3 linked regions of the Anolis sagrei genome follow. The protein of the gene in region 1 interacts with the protein of each later gene in a pairwise test. Links are inferred from orthologs where the notes say so. Each region holds a gene or a part of one and is shown on either strand. Other genes may lie near its edges.

The links.
Region 2: the proteins of C12H11orf68 (region 1) and CSDE1 interact in a two-hybrid assay, tested with the Homo sapiens proteins (2 studies listed by BioGRID and IntAct). The link is inferred for Anolis sagrei from reciprocal best matches to the Homo sapiens genes C11orf68 and CSDE1.
Region 3: the proteins of C12H11orf68 (region 1) and EIF4H interact in binary tests that used the Homo sapiens proteins (3 or more experiments, as listed by UniProt). The two-hybrid records come from large-scale screens. The link is inferred for Anolis sagrei from reciprocal best matches to the Homo sapiens genes C11orf68 and EIF4H.

Annotation. Positions count from the first base shown.
Region 1 is NC_090032.1:9,784,256-9,794,648, reverse strand, and holds the start of C12H11orf68 (UPF0696 protein C11orf68 homolog), read right to left. Parts: upstream 4,616-10,393; 5' UTR 4,608-4,615; coding exon 4,504-4,607; intron 1-4,503.
Region 2 is NC_090024.1:203,341,007-203,351,847, forward strand, and holds the start of CSDE1 (cold shock domain-containing protein E1), read right to left. Parts: upstream 4,548-10,841; 5' UTR 4,439-4,547; intron 1-4,438. UniProt on the Homo sapiens protein: RNA-binding protein involved in translationally coupled mRNA turnover.
Region 3 is NC_090031.1:32,718,327-32,728,924, reverse strand, and holds the start of EIF4H (eukaryotic translation initiation factor 4H), read right to left. Parts: upstream 5,002-10,598; 5' UTR 4,933-5,001; coding exon 4,874-4,932; intron 1-4,873. Other genes in the region: MYBBP1A (myb-binding protein 1A), read left to right, coding at 10,066-10,230. UniProt on the Homo sapiens protein: Stimulates the RNA helicase activity of EIF4A in the translation initiation complex. Binds weakly mRNA.

The sequences.
Region 1 (10,393 bases):
GGGGGATGGGGCGTGCAGATATCCTAGATTATTAGTAAAGTGCATTTGGGGACATATTGCTTGGAGTTTCCTTATTCTGGGAAGGCACGCTGGAACAACCATGTTTTCAAGCTCCTCCTAAAAACTGCCAGCATTGGGGCATGCCTGATGTCCTTAGGGAGAGAGTCGAGGGGCCACCACCGAGAAGGCCCTGTCCCTTGTCCCCACCAATCGTGCCTGCGATGCAGGTGGGATTGTGAGCAAGGCCTCTCCAGATGATCGAAGAGATCGTGTGGGTTCGTAAAAAGAGATGCGGTCACGCAGGTAGGCGGGTCCCAAACCGTTTAGGGCTTTGTAGGTAAGCATACAGAGAAATAAATACAGAGAGGTATAATAGGGAACGCGGAAACAAGAGAGAGATACAGAAAGATACACAAAGAGAGAAAATGGATATGGATAGAATATGTATCTTTTGTATTGTCGAAGGCTTTCATGGCCGGAATCCATGGGTTGTTGTAGGTTTTTCAGGGCTATATGGCCATGTTCTGGAGGCAATTTTTCTCCTGATATTTTGCCTGCATCTATGGCAAGCATCCTCAGAGGTAATGAGGATGCTTGCCATAGATGCAGGCGAAACGTCAGGAGAAAAATTGCCTCCAGAACATGGCCATATAGCCCGGAAAAACCTACAACAACCTATGTATCTTTTATTTAAAAATACATTTTAATATGTGTATAACAATGTTTATGTGTTTTGAATATTCTGTAATCTGCCTCCAGCCACAAAGGAGAGGCGGGTAAGAAATAAAATTATTATTATTATTATTATTATTATTATTATTATTATGAGAAATATTCGGAGAGAAATACAGATAAAAACTCTTGAGACAAAGGTACATACAGAGAGATGACAGAAAAAGAAAATCAAGAGACAGAAATATATAGAAAGAGATGGATAAGAGGGAACCAGGAGAATATAAATATAGAGAAATAAATACAGAGAGATATATAATAGGGAACACGGAAGCAAGAGAGATATAGAAAGATGCATATAGAGAGAGAGAGAAGAGACAGAGGGGCAGAAGTCAGTTCCATCTTGTCTCCTGTGCTTTACTAATAATATAATATATTGTATATACATATAATATTTATAAGAGAAGAGAATTATGCTGGGGGAAATGGAAGGAAAAAGGAAGAGGGGCCGACCAAGGGCAAGATGGATGGATGGGATCCTTGAAGTGACTGGATTAACCTTGAAGGAGCTGGGGGTGGTGACGGCCGACAGGGAGCTCTGGCGTGGGCTGGTCCATGAGATCACAAAGAGTCAGAAACGACTGAACGAATGAACAACAACAATGTAATATAATATAATACTAATAATAATACAATATTATAATTGGGTTGTTGTAGGTTTTTTCGGGCTATATGGCCATGTTCTAGAGGCATTCTCTCCTGACATTTCGCCTGCATCTATGGCAAGCATCCTCAGAGGTAGTGAGGTCTGTTGGAAGTAGGAAAATGGGTTTATATATCTGTGGAATGACCAGGGTGGGACAAAGGACTCTTGTTTGCCAGAGCTAGGTGTGAATGTTTCAACTGACCACCTTGATTAGCATTTGATGGCTTGGCAGTGCCTGGGGAAAAAACCATCAAAGTGGTGTCATCTGCATATCTAATGTTAATGTTTCTTCCAGCAATTTTAACCCCATCCTTGCATTCGTCAAGCCCCGCATATTACATGATGTGTTCTGCATACAAGTTGAATTGGTTGGAGGAGAGGTTACAACCCTGCCGTACGACTTTCCCAATCTTGATCCAGTCTGTTGTTCCACGGTCAGTTCTGACTGTTGCTACTTGGTCCTTATACAGATTACTTTTGATATGAAATCTATATCTATCTATCTATCTATCTATCTATCTATCTATCTAATAAAAGTGAATGTCTGTATGTAGAGGGCGGACATAGGAAGGTGTATGTGGCAGCTTTCTGATCGGCTGCCACTTTCACTGGCCACTGTGACCAACACGGGTGACGCACCTGGACCAAACTTGGCACACATAACCGCCATGACCCCCTTTACGTCCTGGGAGGTGGACCACAGATTATGGGATTTGTAATACTTTCAAACAATTTGGTTCCCAGGGACCACTGTGGCCCCCAACAAAGACCGATAAAGACCAAACTTGGCACACTGAGCCCCCATGACCCACTCTACATCCTACTGCAGTTTGGAGGAGGGCAGACCATGGATGATGGGACTTGAAGTACCTCCACTCGCTTTCCGAGACCGCTGCAACCCTCATCCAATGACTGAAAAAGACCAAACATGGCACACATAACCCCCATGACCCCCTTTACGTTCTGGTACGGTTTGGGGGAGATGGACCACGGATTATGTGATTTGTAGTACTTTCAAACAGTTTGGTTCCCAGGGACCACTGTGGCCCCCAACAAAGACCGATAAAGACCAAACTTGGCATACCGAGCCCCCATGATCCACTCTACATCCTACTGCGGTTTGGAGGAGGGCAGACCATGGATAATGGGACTTGAAGTACCTCCACTCGCTTTCCAAGGCCGCTGCGACCCTCATTCAACAACTGATCAAAACCAAACTTGGCAGAGAGAACCCCCATGATCTCTTTTATGTCCTGGTGAGGTTTGGGGGAGGATGGACAATGGATGATGTGATTTGTAGTATTTTCCAACACTTCGAGTTCCCACAGTCCACTGCGGCCCCCAACAATGACCAATAAGGATCAAACTTGTCACACAGAGTGCTCATGACCCATTCTACATGCTACTGCGGTTTGGAGGAGGATGGATCATGGATGATGTGACTTGAAGCACCTTCACTCATTTCCCCAGACCGCTACGACCCTCATGCAATGCCTGATCAAGACCAAATGTACTTCACTCACTTCCCAAGACTGCTATGACCCTCATCCAATGCCTGATCAAGACCAAATTTGGCACACAAAGCCCCCATGACCCAATCTACATCCTGGCGCAGTTTGGAGGAGGTTGGACCATGGATGATGGGACTTGAATTACCTCCACTCATTTCCCAAGACTACTACAACCCTCATGCAATGCCTGATCAAGACCAAACGTACTTCACTCACTTCCCGAGACTGCTACGACCCTCATCCAATGCTTGATCAAGACCAAACTTGGCACACAGAGCCCCCATGACCCTCTCTACATCCTGGTGCAGGTTGGAGGAGGATGGACCGTGGATGATGGGACTTGAAGCACCTCCACTCATTTCCTGAGACTGCTACGACCCTCATCCAATGCCTGATCAAGACCAAACTTGGCACACAGAGCCCCCCTGACTCATTCTACATCATGGTACAGTTTGGAGGAGGATGGACCGTGGACGATGAGACTTGAATTACCTCCACTCATTTCCCGAGACTGCTACGACCCTCATCCAATGCTTGATCAAGACCAAACTCGGCACACAGAGCCCGCATGACCCATTCTACATCCTGGTGCAGTTTGGAGGAGGATGGACCATGGGTGATGGGACTTGAAGTACATTCACACACTTCCCGAGACTGCTGCGACCCTCATCCAATGTTTGATCAAGACCAAACTCGACACACAGAGCCCCCATGTCCCTCTCTACATGGATGATGGGACTTGAAGCACCTCCACTCACTTCCCGAGACCGCTACAACCCTCATCCAATGCCTGATCAAGACCAAACGTACTTCACTCACTTCCTGAGACTGCTACGACCCTCATCCAATGCTTGATCAAGACCAAACTTGGCACAGAGTCCCCATGACCCATTCTACATCCTGGTGCAGTTTGGAGGAGGATGGACCATGGATGATGGGACTTGAAGTACCTCCACTCATTGCTATGACCCTCATCCAATGCTTGATCAAGACCAAACTTGGCACACAGAGCCCTCATGACCCATTCTACATCCTGGTGCCGTTTGGAGGAGGATGGACCATGGATGATGGGACTTGAAGTACCTTCACACACTTCCCCAAACTGCTGTGACCCTCATCCAATGCCTGATCGAGACCAAATTTGGCACACAAAGCCCCCATGACCCTCTCTACATCCTGGTGCAGTTTGTAGGAGCATGGACCATGGGCGATGGGACTTGAAGTACCTCCACTCACTTCCCGAGACCCCATGCTAGTAAATAAATAAAAAATAAGTATGGATAGGCAGAGAAAGAGAGGTAGATCTTAACACAAAGATCTATAGAGAGAGAAAGGGAGATGGATATGGATAGAAGGACATATAGAGAGACAGAGAGAGAGAGAGGAGTATAGAGAAGGCATAGGCCTACTTGGGGCCTTCCCTTCTGGGTGTTTTGGACTCCAACTCCCACCATTCCTAACAGCCTCAGGCCTTCTCCTTTTCCCCCTCAGCCGCTTAAGCGGCTGAGGGGGAAAAGGAATAGGCCTGAGGCTGTTAGGAATGGTGGGAGTTGGAGTCCAAAACACCCAGAAGGGAGCCCCCCAAGTAGGCCTCTCCTAGGCCCAGGCCCACACCTGGAAAGGAAGGCCTTCGGGCGCTCTTCCGGGCCGGGCGCCCCTTCTTCATGCCAGGCGCACAACCGGAAGTGACGGAGACACGCCGGAAAGAAAACAATCATCGGGACGCTCTAGGAGGGCTCTGGAGGTGAGAGAGAGGAAGCCAAACCGGAAGTGACGCCATAACTTGTGATCCAGAGCAGCACCCCTTCAGTCCCAAGGCCAAGCTGCTCTCCTCTTCCATGGCAAACCTATCATTCTAGGGTTTCAGAAGACTTTGAGTGGGATATTCATATTGATGATTCTGGGCTGTGTTTCCATCTCTATTTGAAGGGATTTGGGGATTTTAAAAAATATAGTTATTGCAAAAAGGCCAAAACAAAGTGCTTGTAGTGTTTTACCTCATGGATAGCATATTATTATCCTTATTATTATTATTATAAGATCATTTCAATATCTGATTATTATTATTATTATTATTATTACAAGATCATTTCAATAGTGACAAAATAATATTCATAGGATCACCTCAATATCGAAATAATATCACATCAATATCTGAATGTGATCGATAGTAATGAAATTCATAGGATCATCTCAATATCTGAATGTGATGGATAGTAATGAAATAATATTAATAGGATCCTCTCAATATCTAAATGTGATCAATAGTGACAAATAACATAGGATCACATCAATATCTGAATGTGATCGATAGTGACGAAATAATATAGGATCTCATCAATATCTGAATGTGATCGATAGTAAGGAAATTAATAGGATCATCTCATTATCTGAATGTGAACAGTAGTGACGAAATAATATAGGATCTCATCAATATCTGAATGTGATCGATAGTGACGAAATAATATAGGATCTCATCAATATCTGAATGTGATCGATAGTAAGGAAATTAATAGGATCATCTCATTATCTGAATGTGAACAGTAGTGACGAAATAATATAGGATCTCATCAATATCTGAATGTGATCGATAGTAACGAAATTAATAGGATCATCTCATTATCTGAATGTGAACAGTAGTGACGAAATAATATAGGATCTCATCAATATCTGAATGTGATCGATAGTGACGAAATAATATAGGATCTCATCAATATCTGAATGTGATCGATAGTAAGGAAATTAATAGGATCATCTCATTATCTGAATGTGAACAGTAGTGACGAAATAATATAGGATCTCATCAATATCTGAATGTGATCGATAGTAACGAAATTAATAGGATCCTCTCAATATCTAAATGTGATAGATAGTGACGAAACAATATAGGATCACATCAATATCTGAATGTGATAGATAGTGACGAAATAATATTAATAGAGTCCTCTCAATATCTAAATGTGATCAATAGTGATGAAATAATATGCATAGGATCATCTCATCTGAATGTGATTGATAGTAATGAAATAATATTCATAGGATCCTCTCAATATCTAAATGTGATTGATAGTGATGAAATAATATTCATAGGATCACCTCAATATCTGAATGTGATCGATAGTAATGAAATTCATAGGATCCTTTCAATATCTGAATGTGATTGATAGTGACAAAATAATATTCATAGGATCACCTCAATATCGAAATAATATCACATCAATATCTGAATGTGATCGATAGTAACTAAATTAATAGGATCCTCTCAATATCTAAATGTGATCAATAGTGACGAAATAATATGCATAGAATCATCTCATTATCTGAATGTGATAGATGGTGACGAAATAATATAGGATCTCATCAATATCTGAATGTGATCGATAGTAAGGAAATAATATAGGATCTCATCAATATCTGAATGTGATCGATAGTAAAGAAATTAATAGGATCCTCTCAATTATCTAAATGTGATCAATAGTGACGAAATAATATAGGATCTCATCAATATCTGAATGTGATCGATAGTAAGGAAATAATATAGGATCTCATCAATATCTGAATGTGATCGATAGTGACGAAATAATATAGGATCTCATCAATATCTGAATGTGATCGATAGTGACGAAATAATATAGGATCTCATCAATAACTCAATGTGATCGATAGTGACGAAATAATATAGGATCTCATCAATATCTTAATGTGATCGATAGTGACGAAATAATATAGGATCTCATCAATATCTGAATGTGATCGATAGTGACGAAATAATATAGGATCTCATCAATATCTGAATGTGATCGATAGTGACGAAATGATATAGGATCTCATCAATATCTAAATGTGATCGATAGTGACGAAATAATATAGGATCTCATCAATATCTGAATGTGATCGATAGTAAGGAAATTAATAGGATCCTCTCAAAATCTAAATGTGATCAATAGTGACGAAATAATATAGGATCTCATCAATATCTGAATGTGATCGATAGTGACAAAATAATATAGGATCTCATCAATATCTGAATGTGATCGATAGTAAGGAAATTAATAGGATCCTCTCAATATCTAAATGTGATCAGTAGTGATGAAATAATATGCATAGGATCTCCTCAATATCTGAATGTGATAGATAGTGACAAAATAATATAGGATCACATCAATATCTGAATGTGATCGATAGTAAGGAAATTAATAGGATCCTCTCAAAATCTAAATGTGATCAATAGTGATGAAACAATATTCATAGGATCACCTCAATATCTGAATGTGATAGATAGTGATGAAATAATATGCGCAGGATCATCTCATCTGAATGTCATCGATAGGAACGAAATAATACTCATAGGATCACCTCAGATATTGACAAACTGGGATGTGTCCGGAGGAGGGCGACTAAAATGATCAAGGGTCTGGAGAACAAGCCCTATGAGGAGCGGCTTAAGGAGCTGGGCATGTTTAGCCTGAAAAAGAGAAGGCTAAGAGGAGATATGATAGCCATCTATAAATATGTGAGAGGAAGCCACAGGGAGGAGGGAGCAAGCTTGTTTTCTGCTTCCTTGGAGACTAGGACGCGGAACAATAGCTTCAAACTACAAGAAAGGAGATTCCATCTGAACATGAGGAAGAACTTCCTGACTGTGAGAGCCGTTCAGCAGTGGAACTCTCTGCCCTGGAGTGTGGTGGAGGCTCCTTCTTTGGAAGCTTTTAAACAGAGGCTGGATGGCCATCTGTCAGGGGTGATTTGAATGCAATATTCCTGCTTCTTGGCAGAATGGGGTTGGACTGGATGGCCCATGAGGTCTCTTCCAACCCTAGGATTCTATGATTCTCAATATCTGTGATTAATAGTAATGAAATAATATTCATAGGATCCTCTCAATATCTAAATGTGATCAATAGTGGCAAAATAATATGCATGGGATCATCTCAACATCTGAATGTGATAAGATAGTGACGAAATAATATAGGATCCCATCAATATCTGAATGTGATCAATAGTAATGAAATTAATAGGATCCTCTCAATATCTAAATGTGTCTGATAGTGATGAAATAATATGCATTGGATCATCTCATTATCTGAATGTGATTGATAGTAACAAAATAATACTCATAGGATCATCTCAATATCTGACTGTGATCAATAGTAACGAAATAATATTAATAGGATCCTCTCAATATCTAAATGTGATCAACAGTGACTAAATAATATGTATAGGATCATCTCATTATCTGAATGTGATCGATAGTAATGAAATTAATAGGATCCTCTCAATATCTAAATGTGATGGATAGTGACGAAATAATATTCATAGGATCACCTCAATATCTGAATGTGATAGATAGTGACAAGATACCAACGAAATCTCTACCTCTGAGGATGCTTGCCATAGATGCAGGCGAAATGTCAGGAGAGAATGCATCTAGAACATGGTCATATAGCCCGAAAAAAACCTACAACAACCCAGTGATTCCGGCCAGGAAAGCCTTCGACAATACAGTGACGAAATACATATACACATGCACACATTTCCACATATATACACACAAATATGCATATAATAATCATCATCATCTTTATTTATACCCCGCCACCATCTCCCCGAATGGGACTCGGGGTGGCTTACATGAGGCCAAGCCCGGTAGTACGATTACAATAACATAACAACAACATAACACAAAAGCATGAAGTAAACATCGCAATAGGATAAGTAAAGCATAAAAATATAATAAAAAAATAATACAGAGAAAAATCAAACACACACAAGCACACACATATACACAATATGCATGTACACATATAAACACGCAAATACACACACACACACACACACACATATATATGTATACACACACACATATACACTTACTTACTTACTTACACGATCCCTCGTAGTCCGAGGATGATGGTCCTCCAAGTGTAGCATCCTGGTGGTGGGTCCGTAGGTGACTGTGGAGCCCTATTCTTGATCTGCATCTTCTCCCGCAGTGAGGGCATCGGTTTCCAGGTGGAAGGCGGTCCCTGTCGGGGTTGGCTTGACGCGCCTTTCTCTTGGCATGTTTCTCTCTTTCGCCCTCCATTCGTGCCTCTTCAAATTCTACAGCACTGCTGGTCACAGCTGACCTCCAACTGGAGCGCTCAAGGGCCAGGGCTTCCCAGTTCTCAGTGTCTATGCCGTAGTTTTTAAGGTTGGCTTTGAGCCCATCTTTAAATCTCTTTTCCTGCCCACCGACATTCCGTTTTCCGTTGTTGAGTTCGGAGTAGAGCAACTGCTTTGGGAGACAGTGGTCAGACATCCGGACAATGTAGCCGGTCCAGCGGAGTTGATGGCGGAGGACTATCGCTTCAATGCTGGTGGTCTTTGCTTCTTCTAGCACGCTGACATTTGTCCGCTTGTCTTCCCAAGAGATTTGCAGGATTTTCCGGAGGCAGTGCTGATGGAATCGTTCCAGGAGTTACATGTGACGTCTGTAGACAGTCCACGTCTCGCAGGCATATAGCAGGGTTGGGAGGACAATAGCTTTATAAACAAGCACCTTGGTCTCCCTATGGATGTTGTGGTCCTTAAACACTCTCTGCTTCATTTGGCAAAATGCTGCACTCGCAGAGCTCAGACGGTGTTGTATTTCAGTGTCAATGTTGACATCTGTAGACAGTCCACATTTCGCAGGCGTAGAACAGGGTTGGGAGGACAATAGCTTTATAAACAAGCAGCTTAGTCTCCCTACGGATGTCCTGGTCCTCAAACACTTTCTGCTTTATTTGGAAAAATGCTGCACTGGCAGAGCTGAGGCGGTGTATTTCGGTGTCAATGTTGACTTTTGTGGAGAGGTGTCTGCCAAGGGAGCGGAAATGGTCCACATTTTCTAATGTTACACCATTAAGCTGTATTTCTGGCATTGGAGAGGGATTGGTTGGTGACTGCTGGAACAGCACTTTGGTTTTCTCGATGTTCAATGACAGACCGAGCTTCTTGTGTGCTTCTGAGAAGGTGTTTAGAGTGACTTGTAGGTCTTCTTCTGAATGTGCACAGACGACATCGTCATCAGCATACTGGAGTTCTATAACAGATGTTGTTGTAACCTTGGTTTTGGCTTTCAGTCTGCTAAGGTTAAATAGCTTGCCATCTGTCCGATAGATGATTTCCACTCCAGTGGGAATCAACAAGATGAAGTCTCATAGCGATGAAGATTGAAAATAACGTTGGGGCAATAACATATCCCTGTTTGATGCCTGATTCCACCTTAAATGGGTCACTTTGGGAGCCATTGCTGCCCAAGACTGTTGCCATCATGGAGGAACCGCAGGATGTTCACAAATTTGTTTGAGCACCCGATTTTTTGGAGGATGGTCCAGAGAGCGCTGCGATTCACTGTGTCGAATGCCTTTGCAAGGTTGATGAATGCCATGTACAGAGGTTGGTTTTGTTCCCTGCATTTTTCTTGGAGCTGTCGTGCAGTGAAGATCATGTCCACGGTTCCTCTGGAAGGGCGGAAGCC
Region 2 (10,841 bases), on another chromosome or scaffold:
TAAACTTGTGTCCAAATCCTGTGCATCAAAAATGAACAGTATCTTCCATATGCTACTAACATTCCTTTAGGGTATTTGCATGCCAAAATATGGGTCCAAGGTCACTGTGACCATAGCCCTATTTTGGGGGATTCTAAAACTGAAAAATTGTGCTCCCAGAAGACTCCAAAGCATTTAAATAGCCCTTATGACCTCCAATGGGCTTGCCTTGGGCCTTCTTTCAAAATTATACATGCTTTCTTAGTTTTTTAAAAAAGATTTCCATTGGCCTGAAACAAGCCAGAGATAGTAGTCTGAAATGGCCGCTCACATCCCTTGAAGGCTTCTGAGATGGTCACCAAACAATTTTTAGGGCCAGGGAGCAATATAAAATGTGGTTTTGCAAGGCGCAAGGAACTCGTCCCTCCCCTTAAAACCTGGAAAGTGTGTAGTCCTCCTTTGGGTATTGCTTCAATAGCATTTCATTCAGGCCTCCTCTTAGGAGCAAGGGGGTGCCTGTTTCCTTCCTGTATCTGATGCTCAAGATGTAGTGAAGAACAGATGAACCTGACTCCAGATGGAATTTTCCCAACACCCAACTTTCACTGGTCATGGAATGCAGAATGGATGATGTTGAGCAACAGCTGAGGCATTTGCCATAAAGGAAGGAGTTACTTATGGATCTGTTACGGAAATAGGTACACCCAGAATCAAAAGCTACAGAACACTAGGGAGGGAGAACAGCACTGTATTCTAGTTTTTTAAACATTTGTTTCCATATTTATTTTATTTTCCTTAGCCTATTTTATACTTTAGGGAATGACATCTCTCACTAAAAAGTGTTTTCCTGTACCACTTAGTACTAGTGGCATAGTTAAAACCCATAAGAAAAGCACAAGCAATTTCGTTTTTAAAAATTGAATGTTTTTGACATCAAAACAAGCCAATAAGATTATGATGGGTAGGAATCTACAATAAGAGACTGTTTTAAGCATTTCTGTAAGAAAACTGATCAGATTTTAATTATGAAATTAATCAAACATACACAACTCAATTTACTCAAAACATGTGGATTGCTTGGAACTAGTGGCCATTTCATTAAATATGCATATATGCTTGGAAACAGAGGCATACAAATATAGTTCAAGAAATGCTGAGCACTGTGACAGCATAAATCAGTTTATATGCACACATTTCCTATATAAGATGGTAGAATCATGTGGTTGTGAAAGAGCCTTAGGCATATTTTCAATAAAATCAGTACTGTGTACGCCTGTGGTCTAAATTCTTTACTTTTCATCTCAGCTGCTATAAATACTCCTCCCAACAGTAAACACCCAGTGCAGCTGCTGAGCTTTCAATGCAGCAGTCTCAACACATGGATTCACAAAGGATTAGCTCAAGTCAAACACAGTAAGGAGAATGTTCAGTTGTAATTTTCCCCTAATGACTTAGTAGTGTTTTTTAGTTTGTTCTGCTTCATGTCTCACAATTTTTGTTTATGTCTGAAAATCTGGTTTAATAAATGGTAGCTACATAAAGAACGGAGGCATTGACACGATCCATGAACAATAGCATGGTATTTATATAGACACCTACTAAAGGTTTTTATCCAAATTAATTTGAATATAGGCTAGCACCCTAAAATTAGCTGAATGACATAGGTAATTACTATCAGGAGATATAGGGAATTAATAGCCAGAGATAACAATACATAACAAAAGTGGAGCTGGTAATAAAAATAATTTGGTATTTATTTTTTTGTAAGTCCAACTTCTCTGAACTGGAAATTTCTCTGAATAGTTTCTCAAAAGATCACACTAAAATATTCTAATAATGGACAAAATTTAGAACAACTGAATTCAGTCGAAGTTCCAGTATAAGTTATAAAACAGGGGTTTAATTCAAACAAGAATAATGGTTTAGTAAAAGACAGAAGTAGACTTCTTTGCCATTCTAGACCAAACAAGCAAATTAATTACAAATGGGCATGGGTCAAACCAGACAAATACAAGGCTCATCAACCAATGGTTTAAAATATATATTTTAGTATTTTAAGGAGCATACTGTATCCAAATAGTTGTACAAGGTGGGTCAAAGGTCACAAAGGTATCTGATGTTTACTTTATGAAAATGTTTTTAAGAGAATTTTTCACACAATGTAATTTATTTCCTATATGTATCAGAGCTTTCCAAACATTTAATATTTGTGATACATGTTCCAAACATGCATCATTTTGCAACACAATAATTCAGTTTTACTAGCAAACCAGATGTAAAACCAAGGGCCCTTCCAGGATCTGATCCTAAGTTTTCTGTTTATACCAGATTATCTGACAGTGCAGACTCATATAATCTAGAAAGCAAAAAATCTGGGATGTGATTCTGGAATATTGGGCCTGTCTGGAAGGGCCCCAAGAAATATAAAGACACACAAAAACTGGAATAACGAACCGTTATGGGGACATATCTTTAATTTGTATTTCTAAAATATATATGATTTATTGCTTATTTCACATAGACTCCAGAGGTTTCTCATTACATTCATGTGACATACTAACATGTCGCAACAGACAGTTTTGATATCTCTGCTGTATATGGTATTATAAATTAAAAATAAAACAAAAATGAAGGCATTGCTACATATTGAAACCCACATGTAACTTTTGGCACGTTCAATAGTGCAGGCATGTGCCAACTTGGGCCTTCCCTCCAGGTGTTTTGGACTTCAACTCCCACAATTCCTAACAGCCTCAGGCCCCTTCCTTAAGCTTAAGTGGCTGGGGGAGAGAAAAAGGCCTAAGGCTGTTAGGAATGTTGGGAGTTGACGTCCAAAACACCTGGAGGGAAAGCCCAAGTTGGCCCATGCCTGCTCTACAGAGTGGGGCAAAAGTTTCATATGGGTTTCAATATGTAGCAAAGCCTTCATTTTACTTTTGTTTTTAATTTATAGTAGCCTATACAGCAGGGATATCAAAACTCTGTTGCGACATGTTAGTATGTCACACAAATGTAATGAGAAACCTCTGGAGGGAAAGTCCAAGTTGGGTTGTTGTAGGTTTTTTCGGGCTATGTGACTATGTTCTAGAGGCATTCTCTCCTGACGTTTCGCCTGCATCTATGGCAAGCATCCTCAGAGGTAGTGAGGTCTGTTGGAGCTAGGAAAATGGGTTTATATATCTGTGGAATGACTAGGGTGGGACAAAGAACTCTTGTCTGTTGGAGCTAGGTGTGAATGTTTCAACTGACCACCTTGATTAGCATTTGATGGCCTGGTAGTGCCTGGGGCAATCTTTTGTCGAGAGGTGATTAGATGTCCTTTTTTGTTTCCTCTCTATTGTTTTGTTGTTGTAATTTTAGAGGTTTTTTTTTAATATTGGTAGCCCAAGTTGGCCCATGCCTGCAGTATGCATAAAAATATGACAATCCTGTTTAATTTACATTGTTTTACTTGTCACCAGTCTCAAGAAAGCCTTCTGCGATTTGAAAGGGCTACCGCCGGCTTCTCTGGAGGTTAAATCTAAAGGTTTCCAGTGACCAGAGTGGCCCTGTCTCCGTCTCTACTCGTTAGGCCTGGAGTGGCCATTTCGCCCCGCAAAATGCAGCATCACACTGTCAAGCGCCGAGGCACATGGTCCTTGGGCAGCAAGATGGTGGCTCCTGCTCCTGCTGAGGGGAAATCAGGGTGGGGGTCCGCATCGGAGGGAAAGGGACGCCGAAGCCCGGGCTCGGCGCGCAGGGACGCCACAACGCCGGCCTCCGGACGCCGTGTGAGGGGCTTGCAGGCGAAGGCGTTCCGGTTCTCCCTCACAAGGGCCTGGGGCGTGTCCCTCTCTGGCCAAGATTGGGGGGAGTGAGTAAAAAAAAAGGAAAATGGCGCCCGCTCCCCCTCACACAAAGGAAGATTGACCTGCTCTTCCCCTCCCTGCATTGGCCCGCTGCATGCCGGGAGAGAGAGTTCGCACCCCTCTCTCCGCACCGAGAGGCGGCGGGAGCCGGAACTCCATCCCCCAGCAGGCCAAGCGGCGAGGCCCCTGGCAGGCACACTCCGCCGCCGCTTTCAACACCACGGCGCCGCCAAACTCCATCCCCCATCGGCCCCCGCGGGAGGGGAGGGAGAGAGCAATGGGCAAAGACCCGCAGTGCACGCCGGGAAGTGTAGTGCTGCCAAGGCTCGGGCCCACTGCGAGCGCTTTCTCTCCCCGGCTGAGGCGAAGGGGAAAGAGGCAGCACTCCCAGCCCGCCGCGGCCTCCCTCTCCTCCTCTCTCCCTCCTTCTCGGGGCAAAAGGGAAGCGAGCGCGCACGCACGGCGGGAGGGGAAGGGGAGGGGGAGCAGCCCCTCCGGACCGTTGGCGCCCGGGACCGCCGTGACAGGAGGCCTACCCAGCTCCCCCGCCCTTTCCGGCCTCCCCCCGAAGCCAGGGAAGGCGCCCCCCGCCCTCGAGGAGCCCCGCTTACCCCAACAGCTCAGCGCCCCCGCTCCAGCGCCGCCATGAGCAGCACGGCACAGCACGTAGGAATAAATCCCGGCTTCTCGCGAGACTCGCGGGGCCGGGGAGGGAGGGGGAGAGAGAGAGAGAAAGAAGGGCGGGTGGGCGCATGCGCGGAAGAGCGGGGCGATTAAGAGGAGGGCAAGGCGCGGTGAGGCTTCGGTCGAGTAAGAAGGCAAGGCGCATGCGCACGCAGATTGGGCCAGAAAGGCGGGAGGGAGAGGTGCCAGGGAACGTGACATGAGTTGTGCCTCTTGAGCCGATGCCATATAACAGCGTTTCTCAACCTGGGAGTCGGGACGGGGGGGGGGGGGGGGGCATCAGAAAACACAGTATTTTCTATTGGTCGTGGGGATTCTCTGTGGGAAGTTTGGCCCAAAGAATGCTCTTCGATTGTAGGTGAACTATAAATCGCAGCAACTACAACTCCCAAATGTCAAGGTCCATTTCCCCCCAAACTCCACCAGGGTTCTCATTTGGGCATATTTAGTATTTGTGTCAAGTCTGGTGCATTGTTTGAGTCCACAGTGCTCTCTGGATGTAGGTGAACTACAACTCCAAAACTCAAGACCAATGTCTACCAAATCCGTTAAGTATTTTCTGTTGGTCATGGGAGTTCTGTGTGCCAAGTTTGGTTCAATTCCATCGCTGGTGGAATTCAGTATGTTCTTTGATTGTAGGTGAACTATAAATCCCAGGAACTACAACTTCCAAATGTCAAGCACTTTTTTATTCATTTATTTATTTATTGTGTCAGGGGCAACCAGACAGTTGTATTACATTTCTAACAGAACAAAACAAACAAACAGACAAAACACAAAATGTGCAAGCTTGGTAGGAATCCTCTCCATTGCTCTCTTGCTTCTTAAATCTCCTTTCCTTTCTCTATTCCCCTCCCCCCCCCCCCCCCCAAAAAAAAAATAAGGGAGGAAATGCTCTCTCCAAAACAGAGGAAGGGGAGAAAGAAAGGTAGATAGGAAAATGAGAGGGAAGGAAATCATGAAATGTGATATAATGGTTTGAACCTCAAGCTGTGGCTGTCAATCCGAGATCAGCCGTGTTTAGGGTACTGTATTTATTTCGTGTTAGGGCAGCCAGTCAATTATATTACATATTACATTTCTAACAGAACAAAGCAAACAAACAGACATAATACAAAATTTGCAAGCTTGGTAGTTTATTAAATGTCCTTTGACCAGTATCTGGCCACTTGGGGTGCCTCTGGTGTTGCCACAAGAAGATCCTCCATTGTGCATGTGGCAGGGCTCAGGTTGCATTGCAGCAGGTGGTCACTGGTTTGCTCTTCTCCACACTCGCATGTCGTGGATTCCCCTTTTTTTGCCCCGTTTCTTAAGGTTGGCTCTGCATCTCATGGTGCCAGAGCGCAGTCTGTTCAGCGCCTTCCAAGTCGCCCAGTCTTCTGTGTGCCCAGGAGGGAGTCTCTCAAAAAACCTCTAATATCAAGATCTACATAAATAAAAATTTAATGTTTGTTTTTGGGATTAAGATAACTCAAAAACCACTGGGTGAATTGACACCAAATTTGGACACAATACACCTATCACACCCAACAAGTGACCGTCACTCATAAAAACACTGGAAAACATAGCGGAAGAGACTTAAAAGCCAAAAAATAAAAATACATTATAATCTTCCTAAGATTTAGGTGGAATCTCTTTTCCTGTAATTTGAATCCATTGCTCCATGTAGCACCTCCAAAGTAGCAGAAAACAAACCTTCTCCCTCTTCCTTATGAAATCATTTGAAATATTGAAACATGGTGACCATGTCCCCTTTTAGCCTTCCTTTCTCCAAGCTTCCTTTCTCCTTTCACCCAGCTCCCTTGGCCACTCACAGGGCTTGGCTTCCAAATTTTGATTATTTTGGTTGCCTTCTCTGAACATGTTCCAGCTTGTCAATATCCTACTTGAATTAACAGTGTTATTTCAGGTGAGGTCTGGCCAACTATATGTTCAAATATATATGACCAAATATATATATTCAAAGCCTGCCCCATCTCAGCTATATGAAGGCCATCTCAATGCTCTAAGAATTGTGGCTGCATAACATATAGAGCTGCATCTAGTAACAAACAAGCCCAAATCTTACTCCAGACATGAATTAACCTTAGGTAAACTGTTGTCTTTTAATCTGCTTCCTCCAGACTGCAACATGGGCCTAATACCAGGCTACCTGGCAAATTGTAATTATGCATGTTGTTCATTCGTTCAGTCGTCTCCGACTCTTCGTGACCTCATGGACCAGCCCACGCCAGAGCTCCCTGTCGGCCGTCACCACCCCCAGCTCCCTCAAGGTCAGTCCAGTCACTTCAAGGATGCCATCCATCCATCTTGCCCTTGGTCGGCCCCTCTTCCTTTTGCCTTCCACTTTCCCCAGCATAATTGTCTTCTCTAGGCTTTCCTGTCTCCTCATGATGTGACCAAAGTACTTCAACTTTGTCTCTAGTATCTTTCCCTCCAGTGAGCAGTCGGGCTTTATTTCCTGGAGGATGGACTGGTTGGATCTTCTCGCAGTCCAAGGCACTCTCAGAACTTTCCTCCAGCACCACAGTTCAAAAGCATCGATCTTCCTTCGCTCAGCCTTCCCTAAGGTCCAGCTCTCACATCCGTAGGTGACTACAGGGAATACCATGGCTTTGACTAGGCGGATCTTTGTTGCCAGTGTGATGTCTCTACTCTTTACTATTTTATCGAGATTGGACATTGCTCTCCTCCCAAGAAGTAAGCGTCTTCTGATTTCCTGGCCACAGTCTGCATCTGCAGTAATCTTTGCACCTAGAAATACAAAGTCTGCCACAGCCTCCACGGTTTCTCCCTCTATTTTCCAGTTGTCAATCATTCTTGTTGCCATAATCTTGGTTTTTTTGACGTTTAGCTGCAACCCGGCTTTTGTGCTTTCTTCTTTCACCTTGATTAGAAGGCTCCTCAGCTCCTCCTCGCTTTCGGCCATCAGAGTAGTGTCATCTGCATATCTGAGGTTGTTAATGTTTCTTCCAGCAATTTTCACCCCAGCTTTGCATTCATCCAGCCCCGCACATCGCATGATGTGTTCTGCATACAAGTTAAAAAGGTTGGGTGAGAGGATGCAGCCTTGCCGTACGCCTTTCCCAATCTTGAACCAGTCTGTTGTTCCATGGTCAGTTCTTACTGTTGCTACTTGGTCCTTGTACAGATTCCTCAGGAGAGAGACAAGGTGGCTTGGGATGCCCATCCCACTAAGAACTTGCCACAATGTATTATGATCCACACAGTCAAAGGCTTTAGAATAGTCAATGAAGCAGAAGTAGATGTTTTTCTGAAACTCCCTGCCTTTCTCCATTATCCAGCGGATATTGGCAATTTGGTCTCTCGTTCCTCTGCCTTTTCTAAACCCAGCTTGAACATCTGGCAACTCTCGCTCCATGTATTGCTGGAGTCTTCCTTGCAGGATCTTGAGCATTACCTTGCTGGCATGAGAAATAAGGGCCACTGTACGGAAGTTTGAGCAGTCTTTCGCATTTCCCTTTTTTGGTATGCATATGAAATAATAAATGCTGCTATGTTATCTTAATTGGTTTATGTTTTAGAAGACTTCCATTCATTATGGTAGAACTACTGAATTAAATAGATCAATTGTCTGGTCCAGAGTAAGAAAGATCTATGGGTCTGTGCATAAAGGAACCTATCCAAATTTATTTCAGTCAAATTAAACATAACACACAAAAGTATTGAAAACATAAAACTGCTGTCAAGATGTCCAAATTATATAACCCTCTATCCCAGACTATTTCATGTCAAAAGCATTGCGTAAATAAAACAAGTATAAAACTGATAAAATAGAGGGAGCACAAGCAGCTACATAATTTTAGACCAAAAATGGGCAACAGCAACCACATTGTCTGCAGCTTTAAACAATTCTTCCTCTGTGCATGAGGCAGAGCATTGTGGGCAAGCATACAGATGCGGAGTTGTTTGTTCTGCCCCACAGTCACACAAGGTGGAGGATTCTTTTAGGTAGTGCCATTTTGTCAGGTTGTCTTTTGATCTGCCCACTTCACTTCTGTGTCTGTTCAGGGATTTCCACATTGCCCATTCTTGGTTTGCCCCCAACTAGAATAGATATATATTGTTCTATGAAATAATGAAAAGGCTGAAACTAGAAAGCATCTCCAGAAATATAACTCCTAAATAATTGTGACTCTTCAGTGTGGAGTGCTCCAAGGCTGTAGAACACTATCACTCAAACATTAAGCTTCAATAACTCCCAGGCGAGGAAATTAATCTACAGTCAGACTTACTGCATTGAGGCAATACCCATAATGACAGGAGATCAGGTGAGTGATTTGCCAGGTCAAGCAAGTTGTAACATCTCTATTAGGGCAGTGTGACAATGTGTGGCATTTAGGGAATGACATTACTGCCTTTTTCTTAAGACATGTACCCGGTAACATGGCTGAAGAAACCAGTTGGACATTTATCTTAGAACTGAACTGAAGGGGATTTCCTCTCCCCAGAATCGTAGAAAAAGCCACCGAGTAGGGCTTTTTGCTAAAACACTGATTTCCTGGAAACCATGCTGTGCCTCCTAGGCTTTGATGTCTTTTGTTGAAACACTGCTTTTTAAATCACTGGCAGGGCTCCTTTAATGCTGGAGTCAAACTAGAGTTACTCAAAATCACACACTGAAATTAGTTTGCTCAAAACAGACTTTGTTTTGAAATCAGGTTGATGAGAGCAGCCCCCAACATCTGGGGATGGGGACAGGAACAGTTTTTGTGTAAGAAGAATTTGAACTTGCTTCAGTCAATGATCACCAAATCTTAAGTCTGAGTGTGTGCATTCAGACAAACCCTTAACTGTCAACTACGTTGCACCAAACTATCGATATTGCATCTGAATCTGGCACATAGATTTCTGTGTCGGATTAATAAAAAGCAGGGCTTAACTAGATAACAATGTCTCTGGAAGTATTGAGATTTACATTTTTTATGGTTTGCATATAAACTCCTTGAAATATTTTGGGTTTACTTCTCCTTACCTTGTGTTCTTCCTTCTCTCCCTCCCTCTGATTGTATGTCATAGGACCATCACACAAGGGAGGCAAACCAGCCTTGAAGGACATATTGACTCCCCCAATTAACCAATTTCTTGCTACTAGGGGCAAATTCACTAGGAAATACTAGGTTAATTTAAGCTGACCCCAAGAGTAGGAATGAAAAGTTCTTGTTAATACCACGAGTTCTCTGGAAATAGTTGTGGATGGAGAAAACATCACGTACAAAAATAAATGAAATCAGGTTGTACAGAAACAATCCTGGGGCTTTTGGAGACTTTTCTTCATGTCTGGAGCAACTGGCAAATTAGATCTCACAGGTTTAAAATCTACCCAACCCTAGCCTAGGGTCACTCAAAAGTGTTTTCAGCTTTCCCAGTTCAGTAACATGTATTTCTGTTTCACTTCCCACAATTCTTTATCTTCATTTACTTTGTTTCCTTCCATATTTCTTCATGACAAAAAGAAAAGAAAAAACAGAGTAAAGATAGACTTGAGACACTTCATTTGTTGACTCTTGAGAAAGCACATGTTTTAAAATAATACCCTGATCAAACAGGTGGATATTTTCACAACACATACAGGTAGTGTTGCTGGAGTGGAAACTGGAGGGGACTCGACTCCTGTACCTTTAACAGGTGTGTAGAAGAGGAAATTTCAGCAAGTGTTGCTTGTCACAGAATAGTAGTCTGTACTCATGGGCTTTTCACTTTTTTAAATTGAGGTTTATACTTTTTTTGATGGGACAATAAACACTTCCTACCCGAGGAGATCAAAATTATGTTTTAAGAATGAACAGAATCTTTATTCTGCAGAAAAAAACATGTATCAACCATTCATCTGAGCCACACCCTGAGATGGTTCTCAGCGGGTAGTGCAGGATCCCCCAGTGGTGCAATGGGTTAGACCCTTGTGCCAGCAGGACTGCTGACCAAATGGTCTGAATTTCAAATCTGGGGAGCGGGGTGAGCTCCTGTCTGTCAGCTCCAGCTTCTCATGCAGGGACATGAGAGAAGCCTACCACAGGACGGTAAAACATCCGGGCACTTCAACACCCAATTTATGGTCTGGAATTTTAGTCTCTCTCTCTCTCTCTCTTTTTTTTTGCTGTTGAACATGTATTTCCAGATAGCATTTTATGTAAATGTAACACCCAACTTATGCTCTGACATTCTATTCTCTAGTTCTTTCATGCATTTCCAGCTATAATTTTATGTAAATACCTGGAATCAAACTAATTTTTCCTAGAAAATTCTGTGTTCCAAGATATGCAGACTACCACATCGCAGAAAAAATTGCGTTTGCACACAGAAAAGCTG
Region 3 (10,598 bases), on another chromosome or scaffold:
TTCCTCTATCATTCTTTCTCTCCTTCCCTCCTCTCCCCTTCCTTCCTTCTCTCCCCTTCTTTCTTTTCTTCCCTCCTTCTTTTCCTCTTTCTCTCCTTCCTTCCTTTCTTCTCTTTCTTTCCCTCTTTCTCTTTCCCTCCTTCTTTCCCTCCTCTCCACTTCCTTCCTCCTCTCCTTCTTTCTTTTCTTCCCTCCTTCTTTTCCTCTTTCCCCTCCTTCCTTTCTTCTCTACCTTTCTTTCCTTCTTTCTCTCCTTCCCTCCTTCTTTCTCTCCCTCCTCTCCCCTTCCTTCCTTCTCTACCCTTCTTTCTTTCCTTCCTTCTCTCCTTCTTTCCCTCCTTCCTTCCTTCCCCCTTTCTGTGTATGTTTTGTGTGTGTATATGCATATGTGTGTGTATATGTGTGTTTGTGTGTGTGTGTGTGCATATATATATATACGGTTTTACACATGCGTTGTAATTTTTGGGTGTTTTGTTTTGGCTTTTTAAGTCCCTTCTACTATGTTTTTCCATGTTTTTATGAGTGATGGTCACTTGTTGGCTTGAGAGGTGTCTTGTGTCCAAATTTGGTGTCAATTCCCCCAGTGGTTTTTGAGTTTGTTAATCCCACAAACGAACATTACATTTTTATTATTTACTACCCGTCCCCTGCCACGTGTTGCTGTGGCCCACATGGGGGTTCTGTGTGGGAGGTTCAGCCCAATTCTATCATTGGTGGAGTTCAGAATGCTCTGTGATAGTAGGTGAACTATAAATACCAGCAACTACAACTGGTATTTATTTTCCCCAAAGTCTACCAGTGTTCACATTTGGGCATATTGAGTATTCGTGTAGATTTTGGTCCAGATCCATCATTGTTTGAGTCCACAGTGATCTCTGGATGTAGATGAACTACAACTCCAAAACCAAAGGACCCTGCCAGTATTTTCTGTTGCTCATGGGAGATCTGTGTGCCAAGATTGGTTCAATTCCATTGTTGGTGGGGGTTCAGAATGCTCTTTGATTGTAGGTGAACGATAAATCCCAGCAACTACAACTCCCAAATAACAAAATCATTTTTTTTTAGTGAAGGACATATATTGGGTTGTTAGGTAACTTGTGTCCAAATTTGGTGTCGATTCGCCTAGAGGTTTTTGAGTTGTGTTAATCCCACAAACGAACATTACATTTTTATTTCTATAGACTAACTGTACCTGCCACGTGTTGCTGTGGCCTACCTTCCCTCCCTTTCTCCTCCTTCTTTCTTTCTCTTCTTCCTTCCTTCTCTACCCGTTTCTTTTCTTGCTTCCTTTGCTGTTTGGTTTCATCCTTCCTTGTCTCTTTCCTTCCTTCCTTCTTTCGTTCCTTCTCTCACTTTTTTATTTCCTTCTCTCTTTCCTTCCTTCTCTATCTTCCTTTCTTTCCTTCTCTCTTTCCTTCCTTCTCTATCTTCCTTTCTTTCCTTCTCTTTCCTTCCTTCTCTATCTTCCTTTCTTTCCTTCTTTCTCTCCCTCCTCTCTCCTTTCTTCCTTCTCTACCCTTCTTTCTTTCCTTCTCTCCTTCCTTCTCTACCTTCCTTTCTTTCCCTCCCTTCCTCTCCCCTTCCTTCCTTCTCTACCCTTTCTTTCCTTCCCTCCTTCTTTCCCTATTTCTCTCCCTCCTTCCTTCTCAATCTTCCTTTCTTTCCTTCTTTCCCTCTTTCTCTCCCTTTTTCTCTCCTTCCTTCTTTCTCTACCTTTCTTTCTTTCCCTCCTTCCTTCCCCCTTTCTGTGTATGTGTTTTGTGTGTGCATATGGAAATATGTGTGTGTGTATGTGTATATATATATGAGGTTTTTCACATGCATTGTAATTTTTGGGTGTTTTGTTTTGGCTTTTTTCTCCCACCATGGAATGATGTCCATGGTGGGAGAAAGAACTCTTGTCTGTTGAAGGCAAGTGTGACTGTTGCCATTGGCCTTGCAGCTTCAAAGCTTGGCTTCTTCCTTCCTGGGGGAATCCTTTTTTGGGAGGTGTTAGTATAGCACACTATTAGTATTATATATTACTATATTGTCCTTCTGCTGTGTTTTTCAGTGTTTTTTTGAGTGAAGGACATACATTGGGTTGTTAGGTGTCTTGTGTCCAAATTTGGTGTCAATTCGCCCAGTGGTTTTTGAGTTCTGTTAATCCCATAAAAGAACGTGACATTTTTATTTCTATAGACTAGCTGTACCCACCACGCGTTGCTGTGGCAAACCTTCCCTCCCTCTTTCTCCTCATTCTTTCTTTCTCTCCTTCCTTCCCTCTTTTTCTTCTTTTTTCTTCCTTCTCTACCTGTTTCTTTCCTCGCTTCCTTTGCTGTTTGGTTTCATCCTTCCTCCTCTCTTTCTTTCCTTCCCTCCTTCTCTCTTTTGTTCCTTCTCTCCTTCCACTTTTTTATTTCCTTCTGTCCTTCCGCTCCTCCTCTCTTTCCTTCCTTCTCTATCTTCCTTTCTTTCCTTCTTCTCTCCTTCCCTCCTTCTTTTCCTTTCTTCTTTCTCTACCCTTCTTTCTTTCCTTCCTTTCCCCCTTTCTGTGTATGTTTTGTGTGTGTATATGCATATATGTGTGTTTGTGTGTGTATGTATATATATGGTTTTGCACATGCGTTGTAATTTTGGGGTGTTTTATTTTGGCTTTTTAAGTCTTTTCTGCTATGTTTTCTAGTGTTTTTATGAGTGAAGGGCATCCATTGGGTTGTTAGGTGCCTTGTGCCCAAATGTGGTGTCAATTCACCCAGTGGTTTTTGAGTTCTGTTAATCCCACAAACGAATGTGACATTTTTATTTCTATAGACTAGCTGTACCTGCCATGCGTTGCTGTGGCAAACCTTCCCTCCCTCCTCCACTATCTTCCTTTCTTTCCTTCTTTCCCTATTTATTTCCCTCTTTCTCTCCCTCCTTCCTTCCTTTCTCTCCTTCCCTCCTTCTTTCCCTCCTCCTCTCTTTCCTTCCTTCTCTATCTTCCTTTCTTTCTCTCCTTCTTTCCCTCTTTCTCTCCCTCCTCTCCCCTTCCTTCCTTCTCTACCCTTCTTTCTTTCCCTCTTTCTCTCTTTCCTTACTTCTCTATCTTCCTTTCTTTCCTTCTTTCCCTCTTTCTCTCCTTTCTTCTTTCTCTAGCCTTTCTTTCCTTCCTTCTCTCCTTCTTTCCCTCCTTCCTTCCCCCTTTCTGTGTATGTGTTTTGTGTGTGTATATGCATATATGTGTGTATATATATGTGTGTTTGTGTGTATATATATATATATATATATATATATGTGGTTTTACACATGCGTTATAATTTTGGGGTGTAATTTCTGTGTCTTTTTGAGTGAAGGACATACATTGGACTGTTGGGTGCCTTGTGTCCAAATGTGGTGTCAATCCCCCCAGTGGTTGAGTTGTGTTCATCCCACAAACGAACAAGACATTTGTATTTCCCTCTTTCTCTCCCTCCTTCTTTCTTTCCTTCCTTCCCTCCCCCTTTCTGTGTATGTATTTTGTGTGTATATGCATATATGTGTGTTTGTGTGTGTGTGTATATATATGGTTTTGCACATGCATTGTGTTTGTGTATCTATATGTGGTTTTGCACATGCGTTGTGATTTTGGGGTGTTTTGTTTTGGCTTTCTAAGTCCCTTCTGATATGTTTTTCTGTGTCTTTTTGAGTGAAGGACCTGCATTGGACTGTTAGGTGTCTTGTGTCCAAATGTGGTGTCAATTCCCCCAGTGGTTTGTGAGTTGTGTTCACCCCACAATGGAAGGTGACATTTGTGTGTCTCTAGATGGTGCTCTGTCTGTGTGGGAGGGCCCAGGGAGCCACCCCAAGAACGGGAAGGCGTGCCCAAAGGCGTCATACATGGGGTTGTGAGGTGTCTTGTGTCCAAATGTGGTGTCAATTCCCCCAATGGTTTTTGAGTTGTGTGTTTGTGTATATATATATGTGGTTTTGCACATGCAGTGTAATTTTTGGGGTGTTTTGTTTTGGCTTTTTAAGTCCCTTCTGCTATGTTTTTCTGTGTGTGTGTGTTTTTTTTTTAGTGAAGGACATACATTGGGTTGTTAGGTGCCTTGTGTCCAAATGTGGTGTCAATTCCCCCAGTGGTTTTTGAGTTGTGTTAATCCCACAAATGAATGGGACATTTTTATTTCTATAGACTAGCTGTACCTGCCATGCGTTGCTGTGGCAAACCTTCCCTCCCTTCTTCACTATCTTCCTTCTTTTTCTTCTTTCCCTATTTATTTCCCTCTTTCTCTCCTTCCTTCCTTCTCTATTTTCCTTTCTTTCTCTCCTTCCCTCCTTCTTTCCCTCTTTCTCTCCTTCCCTCCTTCTTTATTTCCCTCTTTATTTCCCTCCTTCTCTCCTTTCTTCTTTCTCTACCCTTCCTTCTCTCCTTCTTTCCCTCCTTCCTTCCCCCTTTCTGTGTATGTGTTTGCATATGTGTGTGTTTGTGTATATATATGTGTGGTTTTGCACACGCATTGTAAATTTGGGGTGTTTTATTTTGGCTTTTTAAGTCCATTCTGTTATGTTTTTCTGTGTCTTTTGGAGGGAAGGAGATGCATGGGGTTGTGAGGTACCTTGTGTCCAAATGTGGTGTCAATTCCCCCAGTGGTTTGTGAGTTGTGTTCCTCCCATAAAGGAAGGTGACATTTGTGTGTCTCTAGCTTGTGCTCTGTCTGTGTGGGAGGGCCCAGGGAGCCACCCCAAGAACGGGGAGGCGTGCCCAAAGGCGTCCATTCCCACGGCAAAGGCTGGCCTTGAGGCGAGCAGGCCCGAAGGCCTTGTGTGTGGGTGAGGCCTCCAGCATCACAATCCCGGCTCTCGCGTGGAGGCCTGCCCGCCCGAGGCGCCTCCCCCTCTGCCTCGGAAGAGAGAGTCCGCCCTGGCTCACCCGCGCCCGCCTCCGAAGCTGCTGTAGGCCCGGTCGTCGTAGGAGTCGAAATCCGCCATGGCTGCTGCTGCTGCTCCTCCTCCTTCCGTCGCCTCAGCCTCCCCGAGCGCGAGCGAGCGCCGCAGGACCCCGCGCACGCTTATATAGCGGGCCACGAGCCCAGGGCTGCCCGCCGCGCTGCCTGAAGCGAAGCTACCCCTCGCGCCTGCGCAGTCGGACCCAACTTGGGGCTGCCCGCGGCGTGCCTGTCTCCAAAAAAAAAAGCAGTGTGTTTTCCCATTCTGTATGCAGAAGCATTCTCTCCTGACGTCTCACCCACATCTAAGGCAGGCATCCTCAGAGGTTGAGGGATCTGTTGGAAACTAGGCAAGTGAGGTGCAGGCACCCTCAGAGGTTGTGAGGTCTGTTGGATTTCAAATCTTCAAAGAAAGGAGCCTCCCTCACACTCCCAGGGCAGAGAGTTCCACTGCTGAACAGCTCTCACTGTTAGGAAGTTCTTCCTAATGTGTGCAGGTGGAATCTCCAGATATGTAAAGCCCACTTGGCTAATGTAATACATTATACTACTACTACTACTAAAGTTATATTATAATTTAATGTCTTATATTAAGGCAAGTGAGGAGTATATCCCCGTGGAATGATGTCCAGGGTGGGAGAAAGAACTCTTGTCTGTCGGAGGCAAGTGTGACTGTTGCCATTGGCCAGCCTGATCACCACTGCAAAGCCTTGCAGCTTCAAAGCCTGGCTTCTTCCTTCCTGGGGGAATCCTTTGTTGGGAGGTGTTAGTATAGCACACTATTAGTATTATATATTACTATATTACTATAGATGGATGGCCATCTGTCAGGGGTGCTTTGAATTCAAGGTTGTGAGTTTTCTGGGCTGTCTGCCCATGTTCCAGAAGCATTCTCTCCTGACGTTTCGCCCACATCTAAGGCAGGCATCCTCAGAGGTTGTGAGTCTGTTCGAAACTAGTCAAATGGAGTTGATATCTCTGTGAACATCCAGATATATAAACAAGTGTGAATGTTGCCATTGGCCAGCTTGATCACCACTGCAAAGCCTTGCAGCTTCAAAGCCTGGCTTCTTCCTTCCTGGGGGAATCCTTTGTTGGGAGGTGTTAGTATAGCACACTATTAGTATTATATATTACTATATTACTATAGATGGATGGCCCTCTGTCAGGGGTGCTTTGAATGCAAGGTTGTTGTGAGTTTTCTGGGCTGTCTGATCATGTTCCAGAAGCATTATCTTCTGACCTTTCGCCCACATCTAAGGCAGGCATCCTCAGAGGTTGAGGGGTCTGTTGGAAACTACGCGAGTGAGTATATTCCTGTGGAATGATGTCCAGGGTGGGAGAAAGAACTCTTGTCCGTTGGAGGCAAGTATGACTGTTACCATTGGCTAGCTTGATTACCATTGCAAAGCCTTGCAGCTTCAAAGCCTGGCTTCTTCCTGCCTGGGGGAATCCTTTGTTGGGAGGTGTTAGTATAGCACACTATTATTTATTTATTTATTTATTTATGGCATTTATATGCCGCCCTTCTCACCCCGAAGGGGACTCAGAGCGGCTTACAATATATATTTTCATACAATATATTATATTATTAGCATAGTAGAGTATCAGTATATACTACTATATTGCACTATACCATTATATTGTAATATTATTACTAATATTACATGTAATGTAAGTATATAATTATAATTATAATATTGAATTATTATTACTAGTATTATGTTGTATTACATTATAATTAGTATTATATTACTAATATTAGCAATATTAGTAATATATTAGTATTATATATTAGTATATTGTCCTATAGTGCAATCTTATTGGTAATATTACATGTATTTTACAGTTATGATATTATTATATTGCTTTATATTGTATTATATAATAACATTATGATCAATATAATATGTGTATACAATATATTATATTATTAGCTTGGCACACTGTTAGTATTAATTATGATCAGGGGAATCCTTTGTCGGAAGTGTTAGCTGGCCCATATAAATGTCGTAAATAAATAAATAAATTTGAGGATTTGAAACAGAGGCTGGATGGCCATCTGTTGGGGATGCTTTGAAGATTTGAAACAGGCTGCATGGCCATCTGTCAGGGGTGCTTTGAATGCAAGGTTGTTGTGGGTTTACCAGGCTGGTGAATGCCCTTGCAGTTTCAAGGCCTGGTTTCTTACTGCCTGGAGGAATCCTTTGTTGGGAGGTTTTCCTGCTTTTGGTGGTGAATGGCCTTGCGGTTTCAAGGCCTAGCTTCTTACTGCCTGGGGGAATCCTTTATTGGGAGGTTTTCCTGCTTCTAGGTGGTTAATGGCCTTGCAGTTTCCAGGCTTGGCTTCTTACTGCCTGGGGGAATCCTTTGTTGGGAGGTTTTCCTGCTTCTTGGTGGTGAATGCCCTTGCGGTTTCAAGGCCTGGCTTCTTACTGCCTGGAGGAATCCTTTGTTGGGAGGTTTTCCTGCTTCTTGGTGGTGAGTGGCCTTGCAGTTTCAAGGCCTGGCTTCTTACTGCCTGGGGGAATCCTTTGTTGGGAGGTTTTCCTGCTTCTTGGTGGTGAGTGGCCCTGCAGTTTCAAGGCTTGGTGGAATCCTTTGTTGGGAGGTTTTCCTGCTTCTTGGTGGTGAATACCCTTGCAGTTTCAAGGCCTGGCTTCTTACTGCCTGGGGGATTCCTTTGTTGGGGCTTTTCCTGCTGCTTGGTGGTGAATGGCCTTGCGGTTTCAAGGCCTGGCTTCTTACTGCCTGGGGGAATCCTTTGTTGGGAGGTGTTCCTGCTTCTTGGTGGTGAATAGCCATACAGTTTCAATTCCTGGCTTCTTACTGCTTTGGGGAATCCTTTGTTGGGAGGTGTTCCTGCTTCTTGGTGGTGAATAGCCATACAGTTTCAATTCCTGGCTTCTTACTGCTTTGGGGAATCCTTTGTTGGGAGGTTTTCCTGCTTCTTGGTGGTGAATACCCTTGCAGTTTCAAGGCCTGGCTTCTTACTGCCTGGAGGAATCCTTTGTTGGAAGGTTTTAATGCTTCTTGGTGGTGAGTGGCCCTGCAGTTTCAAGGCTTGGCGGAATCCTTTGTTGGGAGGTTTTAATGCTTCTTGGTGGTGAATGCCCTTGTGGGTTCAAGGCCTGACTTCTTACTGCCCGGGGGAATCCTTCGTAGGGAGGTTTTCCTGCTTCTTGGTGGTGAATGGCCTTGCAGTTTCAGGACTTGGCGGAATCCTTTGTTGGGAGGTTTTAATGCTTCTTGGTGGTGAATACCCTTGCAGTTTCAAGGCCTGGCTTCTTACTGCCTGGGGAATCCTTTGTTGGGAGGTTTTCCTGATTCTTGGTGGTGAATGCCTGGGGGAATCCTTTGTTGGGAGGTTTTTTGCTTCTTGGTGGTGAATGCCCTTGCGGTTTCCAGGCCTGGCTTCTTACTGCCTGGAGGAATCCTTTGTTGGGAATTTTTCCTGCTTCTTGGTGATGAATACCCTTGCAGTTTCAGGGCCTGGCTTCTTACTGCCTGGGGGAATCCTTTGTTGGGGCTTTTCTTGCTTCTTGATTAATGGCTTTGCAGTTTCCTGCCCTGGCTTCTTACTGCCTGGGGGAATCCTTTGTTGGGGCTTTTCTTGCTTCTTGATGAATGGCTTTGCAGTTTCCTGCCCTGGCTTCTTACTGCCTGGGGGAATTCTTTGTTGGGGCTTTTCCAGCTTCTTGGTGGTGAATACCCTTGCAGTTTCAGGGCCTGGCTTCTTACTGCCTGGGGGAATACTTTGTTGGGAGGTTTTCCTGCTTCTTGGTGTTGAATGACCTTGCAGTTTGAAGTCCTGGCTTCTTTCTGCCTGGGGGAATCCTTTGTTGGGGCTTTTCTTGCTTCTTGATGAATGGCTTTGCAGTTTCCTGCCCTGGCTTCTTACTGCCTGGGGGAATACTTTGTTGGGAGGTTTTCCTGCTTCTTGGTGGTGAATGGTCCTGCAGTTTCAAGGCCTGGCTTCTTACTGCCTGGGGGAATCCTTTATTGGGAGATTTTCCTGCTTCTTGGTGGTGAATGCCCTTTCAGTTACAAGGCCTGGCTTCTTACTGCCCGGAGGAATCCTTTGTTGGGAGGTTTTAATGCTTCTTGATGGTGAATTCCTGGGTTTTCCTACTTCTTGGTGGTGAATGCTTGGGGGAATCCTTTGTTGGGAGGTTTTCCTGCTTCTTGGTGGTGAATGCCTGGGGGAATCCTTTGTTGGGAGGTTTTCCTCCTTCTTGGTGGTGAATGCCTGGGGGAATCCTTTGTTGGGAGGTTTTCTTCCTCCTTGGTGGTGAATGCCTGGGGGAATCCTTAGTTGGGAGGTTTTCCTCCTTCTTGGTGGTGAATGCCTGGGGGAATCCTTTGTTGGGAGGTTTTCCTGCTTCTTGGTGGTGAATGCCCGGGGGAATCCTTTGTTGGGAGGTTTTCCTCCTTCTTGGTGGTGAATGCCTGGGGGCATCCTTTGTTGGGAGGTTTTCCTGCTTCTTGGTGGTGAATGTCTGGGGGAATCCTTTGTTGGGAGGTTTTCCTCCTTTTTGGTGGTGAATGCCTGGGGTAATCCTTTCTTGGGAGGTTTTCCTCCTTCTTGGTGGTGAATGCCTAGGGGAATCCCTTGTTGGGAGGTTTTCCTGCTTCTTGGTGGTGAATGCCTGGGGGAATCCTTTGTTGGGAGGTTTTCCTCCTTCTTGGTGGTGAATGCTTGGGGGAATCCTTTGTTGGGAGGTTTTCCTCCTTCTTGGTGGTGAATGCCTGGGGGAATCCTTTGTTGGGAGGTTTTCCTGCTTCTTTATGGTGAATTCCTGGGGGAATCCTTTGTTGGGAGGTTTTCCTCCTTCTTGGTGGTGAATGCCTGGGGGAATCCTTAGTTGGGAGGTCTTGGTGGAATGTGGTTAGACTGGATGGCGTAGGAGGTCTCTTCCAACTCTAATATTCTATGGGGAAAGAAAGGATTGGGTAGAGGAGAACTCCAGCTTGGAGGAACTTCAACTCCCAGGATTCCCTACCTAGGCTGTCCATAGGAAAGAATTCTGGGAATCGTAGTACAAAATGACCTCCCCGCATGCAATACCAAGCGATTCCGAGCGGTGGCAGCCGAGAGCCGGATGTTGCCCTGGAAGTGGGTGCGGATACGCATGCGCGTGAGGCGGGAATTGACATCCGGTTCCTTTTCCCAAGCATGGAGAGCAATGGCGGCGCGGAGGCTTCTTCTTCGGCGGGCGAGAGGCTCTTGGGCCAAAGCCGGGAGTTCCTGGACTTCTTCTGGGAGATCGCCAGGCCCGAGCAGGAGAGGCGCGTGGGAGGCACCCAGGGACTCCTGGCACACCTCAAGGAGAGGAGGAAGGTCAGTCTTTGGGCTTGGAAGGGAACCCCAAAGGGCATCTAGTCCAACCCCCACACGTGGACACCAGACAGAGGGACACCCAGGCTCCACTTAATAATAGTAATCATAATAATAGTATCCTAGAGTTGGAAGACACCATCTGATCACTCCCGACAGAGGGTCACCCACCTTCTACTTAATAATAATCATAACAATAGTATCCTAGAGTTGGGAGACACCATCTGATCCCTCCCGACAGAGGGCCATCCACCCTCCACTTAATAATAATCATAATAATAGTATCCTAGAGTTGGAAGACACCATCTGATCCCTCCTGACAGAGGGCCACCCACCCTCCACTTAATAATAATCATAATAATAGTATCCTG